Tamandua tetradactyla: one gene and its partner. The protein of the gene in region 2 purifies or fractionates together with the protein of the main gene of each other region. This does not show direct contact. Links are inferred from orthologs where the notes say so. Each region holds a gene or a part of one and is shown on either strand. Other genes may lie near its edges.

Region 1 (7,221 bases), on a different chromosome or scaffold from region 2:
AGGCCCCAGGGTCCCCGAGGAGGGGCCGAGGCAGACCCGTCCCCATCTGGGAGGTGTACAGGAGGGTGAAGGGTACCTACAGGTACCTGCCTCGGGTCTGGGCTGGGGAGAACGCCCGGAGAGTGCACCCCCTTCTCCACCCCTCGGCTCTCCCCAGCACCCATCAGACCTGGGCTTCGGCTCCCTCCCACCTGTGTGCCCCTCCAGACTGGAAGGGGGACCTTGGCTCTCCTCCCAGGGGCCGGTCCCTCATCTCAGCAGACCCCTCAGGGACCCTCCCCCTCTTCCCTCCTCTAGCATTTCCAGTCCTTGCTCCTACTCCACCAGGCCCCTCCACCCACCCTGCCCGCTGCAACCCTCCTCACTCTGGTCTCTGCCTCCACTCCGTCCAGACCTTAAACCTCAGGGGCACATGCCCTGATGCCTTCCGGCAGTGGAGACGTCTCCCCAGGGGCCCTTGAGAGCAGCCTGCAGGGACCGGGGGCGTGGGGGTGGTGGTGCTGATCCAGCTCCCTCTAGCTGACAGCTCCCACTCTCCCTCAGCCTCGGGAAGCCTCCCTCTCCCCTCCAGGACAGTTCCTTATCCCCTGAGTGCACCCTTCTCTCTACCTGCTCCCCTCAACGTGGGTGCTCCCCACCCCCGACCGATTTTATTTATCCAGAGGCTTCCCAGCCCTTCCCTCAGAGCCCCCCACAAGGTCCTGCACTGATGCCTCAGCCGCTCATTCTCCCCGCTCCAAGCCTGTGCATTCCCCAGTCTTCCCCTGCTTGTGCCCTCAGAACACGGTGTCACAAGACCTCAAGGGCTCCCTACTGCCTAAGGGACAGGGTCCCTGCTCTGGCGCCTGGCCACAGGGCAGACATTGGCCCCTCTCTCTCCTTAGTTCTTCCCGGCCCCCATGCCTTGCAGGAACCCTGGGCAGGTCCCAGAACATCCCAGGGCCTCCCTCGGTGCAGGACCCCTGGGTCCCCAGGCGGGGTTAGATGTCCCTCGGGGCTGCCCTGGGCTCAGGTCCAGGTGCCGTGTCTGCGCCCGCGGTAGCCAGCCTCCCCTGCGCTCAGCCAGCGCCCCGCACGAGCGGTCCGTGCACGCGTTCGGCTGCAAGCGGCGGACCACCTGGGGAGGGGTCTGGACTTCCTGTGGCGGAGAGGCACCCCCAGCTGGGAGAGGGTGTCAGGTCCAAGGTGGGAGCAACCGAGCAGGTGGGCGCCAAGCGGAGGCCGGCTTTCCTGCCCACCTGTCCTTAGCACCCCTGTGCCCCTGCGTCCTCATCAGCCCTAGGGAACCGGCCTCAGCCCAGGCCTCAGCCCCGGGACCCCCACCTGGGGGAAGCCGGAGGGGCGGGGTCCGAGGCCGCTCGGGGTGATGTAATCCTCGCCGCCGCCGGCAGGTGTCACCCCGCCGTTTCTGTTGCGGGCGAGGGGCGGGGCCCGGCCGCGGGTTCCCTCCGCCCTCCGCACCCGCCTCGCCGTCACTCCGGCGTCCCGCCTCTCCTCGGGGTCTCTGCTCTCCGCCCCGCTCCCGTCGCTCCCTTTGCGGGCTCCGAACGAGGCCCGGGGCCCGGCGCGGTCTGAGGGCGGAGGCGACTGACGCGGTCAGGGAGGAGGCGCCCGAGCGGGAAGCCCTGGGTCGCCCCCGCCCCGACGTCGGTCAGGGTCCTGCGTGGGTTGGTGGCCAGGCCTCTGCCCGCGGCCGCCCCGTCGCGGAGGAGGGCTGCCCCAGCATGCAGGCCCGACCCAGAGGAGGGAAGGGACCGGAAAGTCTTGACATACGACATACCTGCGCAGCCGGCCGCAGGCCTGCACAGCCAGTTGGCAGAGGTGGGTGGGTGGGGTCACCTGGATTCCTCATCAGCCCTGGCCTGACCTCCTTGTGGCCTGCTGCTGGCCTGGGGGGCCGGGCCACACCCAGAGCCACAAAATGAAAATAAAATCCAGGGTCAGTCCGAGCCCTGCCCCAAGGCGCTGCCCCTGCTGCCTCACTGCCCCCTTCCAATGCCCAGTCCCCAGTCTCCACCCCCCAGCAGCGTACAGCCCTGGACACTGCTGGGTGGAAACTCCTGAGCCTTTGCCATGCTGTCCCTTTGGCCTCGTTGCCTTTACCTGTGCCTCTGCCACTCACGCCTCTGTCACCACCCACCACTGGCCTAGGGAGCTGGCAGGAGCCTTGGCAGGGCTCGCAGAAGCTCCCTGAGGAGCATGTGCCCGGCAGACCTTGGGGGCACCTTTCCTTACTTCTGTGGCCCGGGCCTCTGTACTTATTCTGCTTCCTTCCCCTTGGTACCACCTTTACTTATTCTCCAGCAGGCGAGCAAGGGCCTGGGGCTGATCTGAGAGCCTATGAGGGTGGGGGAAAGAAGTCTCCAAGCCCCCTGACTCAGAGGGCCAGGGCCCCTTCCTCTCCCACCCCCCTGGCTCAGGGTCTCCCATGCAGCCAGCTCCCCCCTGCAGGTGTGACCCCACAGCTCCAGCCTGGCAGGTCCTGGGTGGTCCTGGTTGCCGTGGGCAAACACCCAGGCCCCACTCGGGTAGAGCGTGGACTGCCTGCACCCGCGTCCTCAGCCTGCAGGGGCAGCAGGGCCAGGGTGGGGCCAGGGAGGCCCAGTCGTGGCATGACGGCACGCAGCCAGGCCCGACTGCAGTGGCATCCTCTGGGACCTGCAAAGATGGGGGCGAGAGAGCAGCTCTGAAGCCTGAGTGGCTTTTAGGGGCAGCTGCTGGGATGTGAGCACCCAGGGGGCCTGGGCCCAGGAGGCTGACCAGAGGGAGAGGGCTGGGAGGCCAGGCCTGGGGTGCTGGAGGGAGGAGAGCTGCCAGGTCTGAGCTGAGCCTGCCGCTGCCGCCCTGATGGGGAACTGGCTGTGGTGGCCATGCCTGCCTCCGGGGGACCAAGTATGTGCAGGGGGTCGGGCAGGGCTGGGAGGGGCCGGCCGAGGGGGCAGAGGGCGTGCCTGTGACTCGATTGTTTCCCTGCTACAGAGACTGCCTGAGCTTTAGCTGGGAATCTTGCCTAAGCCTCTTCCCTCTCCTTCTCCCAAGCTCAGTTTCCTGATCTGCGAAATGGCCGGGGCCCCTTAGGGTGCCCCAGGTGAAATGCATACAGCGTGTGGTCCACAGGGGGCACCCCAAAGCACAAATGATTCATCACTGTGGTTGTGGCCGTACGCCTGGGGGAAGGGGTGCTGGACTGTTGAGGCAGGTGGAGCTGGGGTGGAGTGGGGGTGCCGGCCGGCAGCGTCCTGCTCAGCGTGCAGCGGCTCCTATGGCCACTGCCAGCGCTGGGGGTGGGGGGTGGGGGGAAGCATGGCGCAGACACCCGTGTCCCAGCCAGACAAGTGCAGGGTCCTCTCCCACCCCATTCCAGCCGCCACTGCAGAGTCACAGTCAAGACCTGGGGCGGGGTGTGTGTGAGAGAAAGTGAGGGGCCCCAGAAAAGGGACGGAACGGGTGGGGGGGGGATGTTTATACCCAGACAGATAGCACCAACACTCCCCGGGGGCCCAGGATGTCACCAGGTCACCTCCCTGGCCATATCACTATTGAGCCCCTCTTGCATCCCCCGGGGACTCTGTGCTGGGCGGGGGCAATTGGGTGGGGGAATGGAAGGACCCAGAGACAGGGGAACGGGGTCGGACAGCAGGACGAGTCGGGGAGGGGAGGGGAGAGGGAGGGAGAGAGGGCTTTCTGGAGGGGGGTGGGCATTGCGTGGGGTCCCTAGGCCCGGAGCCCCTTTTTTTCACCCCTTTAAGAGCCTGCTTCCAAACCGCGCAAAGAGTAGGTGCTCCATAACGTGCTTGGACCCAGAGGCAAAGGCTGCCCAGCCCGGGGCAAGGCAGAGGGGTCCGGGCGGCCCCGCAGACACCCCCTCGCCGGCGGGCCGTGGAGGCAGGGGCCGGGCGGGCTGCGGGCGCGGGGCGGGGGCCGCGGGGCGGAGGAGGCGGGAAGGGGCGGGCGCGGGGGGCGGCGCCGCCACCGAGCCGAGCCGAGCCGGAGCCCCAGGCGCCCCGAGCCGGAGCCGGAGCCACCGCGAGCGCCGCCGGGCCGGGATCAGCCGCCGCCGCTGCCGTCCGCGCCCGCGCCCGCGCCCCTGCCTGGCGGGCGGGTAGTGAGCGCCGCGCCGGGGTGGGCCGGGGTGGGCCGGGGTGGGCCGGGGCCCCGCGGCGCCATGGCCGGGCCCGAGCCGCTGCGGCCGCGCCTGTGCTGCCTGGTGCGCGGCGAGCAGGGCTACGGCTTCCACCTGCACGGCGAGAAGGGCCGCCGCGGGCAGTTCATCCGGCGCGTGGAGCCCGGCTCCCCCGCAGAGGCGGCCGCGCTGCGCGCCGGGGACCGCCTGGTCGAGGTCAACGGGGTCAATGTGGAGGGAGAGACGCACCACCAGGTGGGTGGCCCCCGCCCGGGACCCCATCCCTGGGACCCCCGCGTCTCGGCCTGCGCCACGGAGGCAGCGGTGGGGGGGATGGGGGGTGGGGAGTGGGGGCTGCCGGCCTCCTTCCTAGACTCCCCCACCCCCCAGGAAGCTCAGCCCTGCGCCGCGCGGGGGTGGGGGCTGGGGGTGCCGCCTGGCAGGGAGGGGCCGCACTGCGGCTCGGGCCTTCTCTGCTTAGGTGCCTTTGGCCTCGGCGCCCAGTGTAGGGGTGCCCTGCATCCTAGGGGTCTTGGTGGGTCCCCACTTGGGGACCCTGCGTGCTTTCTTACGTTTGCATACACCCTGGGTGTGTGTGTGAGTGTGCCGGTCACCCGCGTGTGCATACATCTGTGTGTGTGTATGCATCTCTGACAGTGTTCACAGCCAGGGCTAGTGTGTACATGGACTCACCAGCGCGTGCGCATGTGTGTGCAAGCGCGTGGACAAGTCTTCACGCCTGGATGTATACAGGTTTGTGTGTGTGTGCAGCGCTGCATGCCCAGGTGAGTGTGAGTCCGACTGTGTGTGCACTCCCCTGCGTGTGGCTGTGTGCATGTTGGGCCCCGGGGACTTGGCCGTGTGTGCCCCAGCCAAGTGGGTCTGGGTCAGCTGCTTGTGGCAGCACATCCGTTAGCTCCGCTGGCCACAGCCCCTATCTGCAGCTGCAGGGCACGGGCCAGAGGGGGAGGGCAGGGGTCTTCTCAGTGGGTTCTCACTCCTGGGGGGTGCCTGCCCCGCTGGCCTGGGTCCTCCAGCCCTGCAGGGTCATGACCTGTCCACGTGGCTAGGTCTGGGTGGGCCAGGAGCTGAACTCCTTCTCCCACCCCAGGGACCCTCATCTGTCCATCTGTGTGCCCTCCTCGTATCCTTCTAGACCATCAACTGGATACGGTGGTTTGCTGGAGGAGTGTGGGGTCAGGGGCTGGGGGGCTCGACCTGGTGGGCCGGGGTAGGGACAGGTAGAGTTGGCTTACCCGGGGCCTCTGGGGCACTGGCCTCTCAGAGCTAAACACAGGACCACAGTGCCCCAACCAGCTGCTCCAGGAGGAGAGGGGCAGTTACAGTTCCTACCTGATAGATGGGACACATGCTTGGAAATGTGGCTGACCTACGCAGGGTCACACAGGAGGGGAGTGGGGGGTCTTGGGGTCACAGGGAGAGAGAAAAGCCAGGGCAAAGATGGGTCTGGCTCAGCTACTCCCGTCTGTTGACGTCTGCCCAGCAGCTGATGGGGAGGCCCTGGCGGCGCCCCTAGGCCATGGGGTGGGGTGGGGTCGTGGTCCCGCCTACCACACGGCTTCCTCTCCTTGCGGGTGAACCCCGACGTGCATGCCCGCAGCTGCCTGCGTGCTCCAGGCACGTCACAGGTGCTCACAGACTCACGTAGCAGCCCTAACCATTAGTACCCGTTCCACAGGTGGGCCGGCCCCATCCCCCTCTGCCTCTGGGGCCTGAAGCCCTCTCTCCTGGCCGTCTGAGCCCTGCCAAGCTGGGCGTGGGCACCTGGTCAGAGGAGCCCAGCTCTTTGCTTCTCTGCAGATGCCAGGTCCCAGTCTGTGGCTAACGGAAATGGGGAGAGGCAGGGGCTTAGGGGCTACATGCTGCTGCTGAGAAAGATCCCTCTAGACCGGGCCTGGGGAGACCCTGCTCTGTTCCTGAAACCCGGCCTGAGCGCCAGGCCCCAGGCCATGCATGCACAGACCAAAAACCTGAAGCTCAGACCCTCACCCTCTCCCTCATCCCCAGACAGACTGACCGACTCACGCAGCTAACCCACCCCTGCAGCCCCCTGCCTGGCCCCTCCTGGAGAGGACCCTGGGCTACTGCCAGCCCTGCTCAGATCCCCGGCCCTTGCAACCAGTCCCGGGTGTCGGGAGCTCTGGGAGAAGAGGGCGGGAGCTACCGAGGCTGGGGGTGGGGGGCGGGCCCGGCAGGCATCTCGGTCCAGCCGCCCATCCCTGCCGGCCAGCCCCGGGCGGGGTGCCGTCCTCCCTGGGCTCCGGAGCTGACCCCCCATTCCCCGGGCCAGGTGGTGCAGAGAATCAAGGCCGTGGAAGGGCGGACACGGCTGCTGGTGGTGGACACGGAGACGGACGAGGAGCTGCGCCGGCGGCAGCTCACCTGCACGGAGGAGATGGCTCGGCGGGGGCTACCGCCCCCCCATGAGCCCTGGGAGCCGAAGCCGGACTGGGTGGCCACGGGCAGCGCGGGCCCCGAGGCAGGCGGGAAGGTAGGCGGGCTTGCCGGGCACCTCCGCCTCGGCCCCTGGGGCTGCTCTTCCCACCCTCCCCCGGTCCCTCCCCACGCCCGGTCCTCTGTCCCACAAAGCTCATTCAGTCCCAAGTGGCTGGGCCCCCTGGGGCGGAGCTGCTGGAAGTCCTGGGACTGCGAGGGCCAGCCCTGCGTCCGTGGAGTCAGCACACGCTGTGGTCAGGGCAGCCGAGGAGGGGCCCCAGAGGGGTGGGTGATGAGTGGGTCTCAGGCCGGGAATCGGGGCTGCTGGCGCCCCGGGTTGTGAGCAGCTCCCCCTTCTCCCTGACCACTTTCCAGGCCAGGAGAACCGGGGAGGAGGGGTCGCGGGGTGGGGGCAGTGCCAGAGGGGTCACTGGGTGGCCTCACTGGGTGGAAGAGGTGTCAGATTTGGGGTTTGTGGGTGCTGGACGAGGCCGGCTATGTGGGGTCTTGACGCGCCATCTCTTCCCCTCCCCAGAAGCCTCCAGCGTGGGGGAGGGCTTTCCCTCTGTGCAGACAGCCTGACCCAGGCCAGGCCGGGGACCTGCGGGCACCTCCAGTTCTCTGAGGCTGGAACAGGCCCG
Region 2 (7,316 bases):
AGGTTGGAAGTTAGGGAATACTGCTTTTGAGATTCAACTTCATTAACTTCTGCATTGGAAAATATTGTGGCCATTAGAGCTAACAGAAAGACAAAGTTTTAATGTCTATGTATTTCCCTAGTGAATGTATTTTAACCTCAGTGTCCTAAACTGAGAGAACTAGAGTGCAAAAAAGGATATTCAAGAGCTTTGTGTTTGGAGAGAAGTTGTACATGTCTGTGTACTTAGGGGTTTGGGAATTGGGAGAATCATTGAAGAGAGAGTTGCTCAAAAAGACCTGAAGTTTAATAAACTTTTGACCAGCTTTGGCTTGGGAGGGTGGGGCTGCTCTTAAAACTGGATGTGAATAGGTCTTTTTTTCAAGCAATATCAGTGAGTGGGTCCCATCTGCAGAGTTCCAGGACCTGGGTCACTTAAACAGAGGAAAACGCTGAAGCATCTTGCACAGTTGCTTCATGAACTTCCATGAGGCTGATTCTGGCTTCAAGATGGAGCATTGAAGTTTTTTCCACCCCCCCCACCCCCATTTTAAAGAACCTGCTGTTGCGCTTTGTATGTTTTGTTTTTGTTTTCTATTTGGAGGCCTCATGGGAAAGAGCCTCTGAATTCTTTCCTTTGTGAACTCTCACTGTGTTCCTGTAAAGTCCCTTTTCTTTCATAATGTTGTAAGTTGCATTTTCATTAAGCCCCATCATATTTTCTTTACTGTAAAAATATTAAAAGGCTGTTTCCAAGTGGGATGGCTAACGAAGTTCTAATTATTGCAGACATATTTTTGAGATGTAAAAAAAAAATTAATGATAAGTCTTAGAGGTGAGTGAGGAATAAAATGGATGTAAACAGTTACATGGGATGCATTAGAATTCTGCTGTGTGTTGTCTTTTGGTTGAAACAAATTATGAACAGTGACTAATAATAAAAAGTCAATATTCAATGATTTAAAATTTGCTTCCTTGCTTCTTACAAATGGATTTGAAGCCTTGGATGAATTTTTAATCCAGTTTTGAGCTAAACTTACTGACCTGTTAAATGGTCCTTTTACAGTCAGAGATCTCAGAAATTTTAACAACTTAAAAACTAGTGTGGTAGACCATGAGAAAGTCTTTAATTTTAACTATAATGTGGTTGCTTACATGCTTGTTCACATATGTAAATTCTCAAACTAGGCAAAGAAAAAGTGGAATGTGTTTTAGGGGTGGTCATGGGGTTTCATTTATAAGCTGCTATTTGTGAATTGGTCTCCGAGATCTGTTATTGGGAAGAGAAAGGGCTCACCAGCCAAAATGAATTGTATATGCTCGTCTGTGTTATAAGAACTTTTCCATAGAAATGAGTGGTTGGAAGCTTCAGGTTCTCTAGCTTCAGGTTTTCTATTACCCTGATGATCCCTAACATCAGAGTAATAAATGTTTGAGAAGAGGAAGGTGTAGGCCTACGGAGTTATCTAGTATATGCAGAATTGCCTTTTGGCACTGTTTGATAAGCTACATTTCTATAATCTATCTTCATATATTGCTTAGTTAAAATTCATTTTTGTTCATATTAAATTTAGTTGGCACTTTCATTTAGATGTAATTAGATGAAAACATAAAAGCTACAACAGAAAAGTTAGAGCCTAGAAATTTACTTAATGAATAGTATTAAGATTTGAACTTTAATACCAAAGAACCAAATTCATTTTTATCACTTTTCGGGTTTTCCACACTATTTCCTTCCTCAGTCCAATTGTCCCCATATTTGAAAATATAAAAATATTCAGAGAAAAAGTTTGTTCAAATCTTGAAGCCAAGTGAATACTGCCTGTTTATTTGGAAATGAAATAAGGATTTTATAAATCCAGACTTATACAATCTTTGGTAGAATAAGAAGGGATTCAGACCTAAAGTTGACTTTGTGGTCATCAAAAGAGTTGGGAACTAGATGTAAATAAGTGATTGTAGTATCTTATGGCTCCTTTACCAAAATCTGATAGACACGAAATTTCTTTCTCCAGACTTTCTACCATTTTTTGCAGTGAGTATTAGGAAAAGCTCCTGGGATAAAGTCCATGTGTGTTTGAGCTGGGGGGTTGCAGGAACTGTGAGAGAAGGTATGCACAGCTGCTATGGGAAGGATGCAGGGCAGGAGGGCTTCTAATGACTGTTCTGCCTCTTGGCTTGATTCAACCTGATTTTGTTAATGATGAACCTGCAGTGAGGGCAGATGGATTTTTGCACAAGAAAATCCCAGAGAAATTTATTTTTAGGGTTAGTCTCAGCTGTTTACCATTTCTGGAAATTGTAGTTACATAACTCTTGGCATACATAATGCACATTGCCTTGAACTGGGAGAGAGCATGAATATGTGACCTTTGAAACAAAGTATAAAATGTTAATGGCAGTATATAAGGTGAGAACAACTGGTTGTCATTACTGAATTGGAAAAATAGTTTCTGAATTGGAAAAATCAGGTCTTAAATCATGGAGATCTTTAAACTTAGAGAATGGCATCATAAATTACCCCCTGAAATCTCTGCTGGTGGCTTCTTTTACTTCTCTTACTGTCTTAATTGTGTTGCCAGTATGGGGTAGTAAACACATAAACTTTTAGCATACACCATTATCCTGAATTGATGCTTCACTCACTAGTCCATTAATTAAACAAACAAAAAAATCTACCAATGTTATATATACCCCAGCATGAATTCAAACCCTAGTCCTGGGACAAGATCCTTCTCTTTCAAGTGGTCAAGCAATAAAGAGTTTCTGCTCATGAGATCGGAGAAAGTAATGTGTAATACTTCAAAAAACAAGCTTTTGGAACCATTTATTCTGATCCACATCTTTATTATTCTCACTGCTTGCCTGTGTGCCCTTGTTCAAATACACTTCTTTCTCCATGTTGGAGCCTGCCCCTAACATACTCGGGTTCTTGCTGGAAGAAGCAACACTAAAATAGGAATCTGACTAGTTTGAGTAGCTTTCTTGAAAGGAATTTCAAAGTAGAAGGAAAACCAGGTAGGTGTACAAGCTAAGAGCTTTTTCTCCTTATACAAAGCAAATGAAGATTAGTGGAATTTGAGGTATGGTATGTTAAAAGTAATTTATGGTAAATGGAAAATGTAGTGACCATCCTTTTTCTTTCACAGAAGTAATTTGTACAGGTTGAGAGTCTTGACAAGAACCAACTTTTGTCCTTGTATTTAAAATCTCCAAATAGACATAGTTCTACAATGAGAGGAAAACACTGCACAATTAGACCTGAACCTTTCTTGTACTAAGGAAATATTTACATATTTCCAATAGGTAATTATCTGGATTAGCAAAGGTGAAGCAATGGATAATAATGACACCATCTTTACCAGTTTTTCAAAACTCCATGGAGTATGGTTTTCTGTTGTTAAATATCCTTACGAGTTGCTTTAAGACTCATCAAGACCTTTGTAAAGAGAAGGCCTAAAATCTAGAAGTCTTGGAAATTCCGAATTAGAATGGCTGCTATGAATCCCTAAGTGTTATGCTCTTTGAATGTGTTACTCAGTAAATTTTCCTAACTATTCAACTGATTCACTTCTGTTTCACAGATAAGGAACCAGAAGTTTAAATAGCTTGCACAGGGAATAGGTCCAATAAGTGGTAGAGCTGAGATTTCAAATCAGACTGACTCCAAATTCGGAACACAAAACTACTAATATGGATGAGAAGTGAGCTGACACATTTTGTGAGGTTGGGTCGAATTTACCGAAGAAGGTCGTAGCATCTCTAATAAAGCAGAGGGTCTTGGTACGGTGAGTATTGTCAGTAAATAGTTAATTCAAGGACTTTGCAAAGGAGGGTGACAAGCCAGTTTTGAAACAGAAGGTACGTTTTAGGTAAGTAATAAGAGCCGCTCTCAGCGGAGGGCAGCGTCCCGTCACAACTGGCAGGTGCTGGCACTACCTGCCCCTTTTTCCTATCACTTCGGGGGCGTGGATAGCAATAAATAACACTCCCAGCACCTCAGTGTTCCAAGCCGACCGCGGCTGTGGAGGAGGCCCAGCCCTGAGGAGTCGCCGAGCTCCGCCCTCCTGTCCCTCGGCGGGCTGGGGAATGCGCCTCCCCGGCGCCAGGGCCGCGCGGGGGCCACGCGGAGTCCGCAGCTACGCAGGTCCGGCGGGCCTGCGGGAGGGGCGGGGCCTGGGGCGGGGCCCGCGACCTGGGGGCGGGACCGCCGGTTGCTCTCGCGCGCCGTAGCGCCGGCCGGCGAGCCCTGTGCAGCCTCCGCCGCCGATGGGGGAGGTGGAGCCGGGCCCCACGGGCCCGCTGGAGCCCCCGGAGCCGCCCGAAGCGCCAGCGAGCCGCCGGCCGGGAGGGATCCGGGTACTGAAGGTGAGGCGGGCTGGCGGGCTGGGGAGGGAGGGGACAGCCCCCCCCCCGCCCCACGCGGTAGCCGAGGCAGCGGTGACCCCCTGCAGTGCTCTAGTCAGTCAGCTTCGCGGCCCGGCCGCCCCTCAGCCGAACGGGTTGCGCCGTGGTTTCCTCCGAGGCCTCCGCGCCGCGCCCCCGCCCAGGCCTGGCCGCCTCCGCCCCCCACCGCTGCCCATCCTTGGCCGCGCGCCACCCGCCTCGCAGGCCCACGCCTTCGGGCGGGTGTCCGCCTGGCCGCCGCCGCCCACCCGGCGCCTCCAGGATCCCGGGCCCCACCACTGCGCACCCGGGCCTCGCTCGGGGCCCAGTCGGGGGCTCCTGGCTGACCGCGAGGCTGGAAGTACGCAGGGCTTTCCTCTCGGACACCTGAAGACATCACCCCGGCGGCGGGATGGCGGTGGCGATTGGCCGGGAGCGGCGGGGCGTCCGGGGCCGCGCGGGGTGGAGCGGGCAGCCTCTGCCCTCTGGGCTTACAACCGAAGTTGCCACCCCACTCCCAGCTCGCGAGACACTGGCGAGGAAGGATGACCTGCCCCGCCTGGAGAGAAAATCCCCGGAGGCGCTTAATCGCCGGGAATGGCTGAGCATGCTGCAGAAGGGAGGAGGGGTTGGGCAGAAAGGGGCATTTCTGCTTGCGGGAGCGGGGCTAATCATCCTGGGAGGCTAATGGGGGAGCAGTTATGCAACAGGCAGCAAGCGGGGCTTTGGCAGGAATTAGGGGAGTGGGAAGAATTGAAAGCAGATGCGGCTAGGGTGTAGGGGAGCCTTGACGGTGACAAGAAGTTTGAATGCATATGGAATGTAGAGTGGGGAGGGGACTGTGAAGATGGTTAAAGGGAGGGATTGTGGGAGGCTCTCTGGGTGGAGTTTCTATTAGCCTTTGAAATAGAAAATTTCTGTAGGTCAAATATGTAAACTGAGTGTCCTTCTGGAAGTGGAATGGAATTCACACTAGAGTTCTAGAAGAAGAATGTGGCCAGAGAGAAGGAGGAGAGAAAATAAAACGATTATAATAGGACAGAATGGGGACAGCAACAAAAAGAGTTGAATAACCTAGTGAATTCATGAAACAAGATAAACTATAACTCTGTAAAAGATATTAAAAAAATTCTGACACTGCCTCCCAATCTTAATACAGTGACTTAAATAACTTCTCGTACTTTGACGTCTATATAAACCTCTTACATTTTGTCATTTATTTTATCATAAATTGCAAATATAATTATCCAAAGGCTTTTGGATAGTCATTTAAAACTGTAAAGTCACAGAAATGTAAATTGTGAATGAACTCAATGTTTTAAAAAAGTTCAACTGCTCTGGTTTATCAGGAAATGGCTGCTGTGAGAGATAGGCTTTACCCTCTGGCCTAGAAGGTAAACAACTTTGGCTTTTTTTTTTAATAAGTTTTTGGGGGGACGGAGTGGGAGGGGTTGGGGTGGAGAGTGATTGAATTGTGAGAGGGAAGTAAATGAGAAATGATTATCTTTATTGAACACAGCCTAACACCAGTTCCCAGCGATTCCAACCTGGGAACCATTAGAAGTATGTCAGAAATTGATCTTAATTGCAGTACTGAGCTAGTGTAGTGGGAGGCTGACGGTCTCTAAATACCTTTGCTTTATTGCATATAGTAAAACACTTTAAATAATCTTTGCAAATAAATGGGATCATTCTGGAGATTAGGTGCTCTATCTTACATTTAAAAAAAAAATTCCCTTAATTAGCTGAGTGGTTGAATTTTGTGCCAAGGGAAGCTAGAAGAGAATATGTACACATAAAATTTCCTTAATTGGAAATAAAGTCAATCTCCCTCATTTTCTTCTCTGAAGACCTTTTGAAAAAAAAAAAAGCCTTGTAATTTTTTTACACTAAAACTGAAACCATGAACTTCAATCATTATGGTTAAATAATATAATTCTCATTAAAAGGATAGTGTCATTAAGACAATATAACCCAGGCAGACTAAATCTAGATCCATCTTGTGGGTTATTGGAAAATTTTATTCAAAACCTGCCCCTAACAAACCTGAAATTGTGGAACTGTAACCTATATCAAATGTTGAAATCTGTTTTAGAACTACTTGTTAAAATGTACTTTGAAATTTATTGCTTTTGTGTGTGTGTGTGTATGGTAAATATCACAATTAAAAATGTTTAAGAAACTAGTGTATGAAGGGAAGACTGTTAAAATTAGTCTAGAAGGTCTTCAAATTTTGTTTTTAATCTGCAACCTTAAGATAACTCATGTCCTAGAAATAAAGTTTTTGTGATGTTGAAAAAAACCCTGTCCCTACATTAACTCAACAAATTGCTATTTAGAATATACCCCTTTACATTTGTAGTTGGAATATAAGTATATTTTTGATACTCTTAAAAATATTTGAAGTACCTTTGAAGCCTTTGAAGCATAGCTTTTAAAGTATTCCAGATATTTTCTACAGTTTGGGATCATGGTATGTTTTTATTTGTTTATTTGTTTTTACTTAGTCTCTAGAAGATATGAAGTTAGAAATAATCTAGTCAGTGGGTGCCATGAGATTTTTTTCAATAACAGTTTAAAATTTTTATCAAAATAATATGTGTACATGGTTTTAAAAAAATCAATTACTATCAACAAAATTTCCATGAACTAAAGTATTCTTCCCCTCTCCACCCTTTCCAAAATATTCTTTACCATGTATGTTCTCAGAGATGAGCTGTTTTAGTTTCCTAGGCTGCTTAAAGCAGATACCATAAAATCGGTTGGCTTAAATAGTTGGATTATTATCTTACAGTTTTGAGGACCAAAAATGTCCAATTCAGGGCACCATCAAGGTGATGCTTTCTTCCCGAAGACCTGCTGCCAGCAGACCTTGGTGCCTCTCTCACATGGCAAGGCACATCGTGAGGCACATCGTGGTGTCTTCTGGTCTCTCCCTTCCTATCCTGGTTC

The links.
Region 1: the proteins of PHLPP2 (region 2) and NHERF2 purify together in Homo sapiens (affinity purification with mass spectrometry; 3 studies listed by BioGRID and IntAct, with this or other methods). This does not show direct contact. The link is inferred for Tamandua tetradactyla from reciprocal best matches to the Homo sapiens genes PHLPP2 and NHERF2.

Annotation. Positions count from the first base shown.
Region 1 is NC_135349.1:55,495,821-55,503,041, reverse strand, and holds the start of NHERF2 (Na(+)/H(+) exchange regulatory cofactor NHE-RF2), read left to right. Parts: upstream 1-4,165; coding exon 4,166-4,378; intron 4,379-4,601; exon of another isoform or gene 4,602-4,806; coding exon of another isoform or gene 4,807-4,908; intron 4,909-6,434; coding exon 6,435-6,635; intron 6,636-7,221.
Region 2 is NC_135342.1:67,036,394-67,043,709, forward strand, and holds the start of PHLPP2 (PH domain leucine-rich repeat-containing protein phosphatase 2), read left to right. Parts: upstream 1-4,226; 5' UTR 4,227-4,247; coding exon 4,248-4,346; intron 4,347-4,823; exon of another isoform or gene 4,824-5,758; intron 5,759-7,316. UniProt on the Homo sapiens protein: Protein phosphatase involved in regulation of Akt and PKC signaling.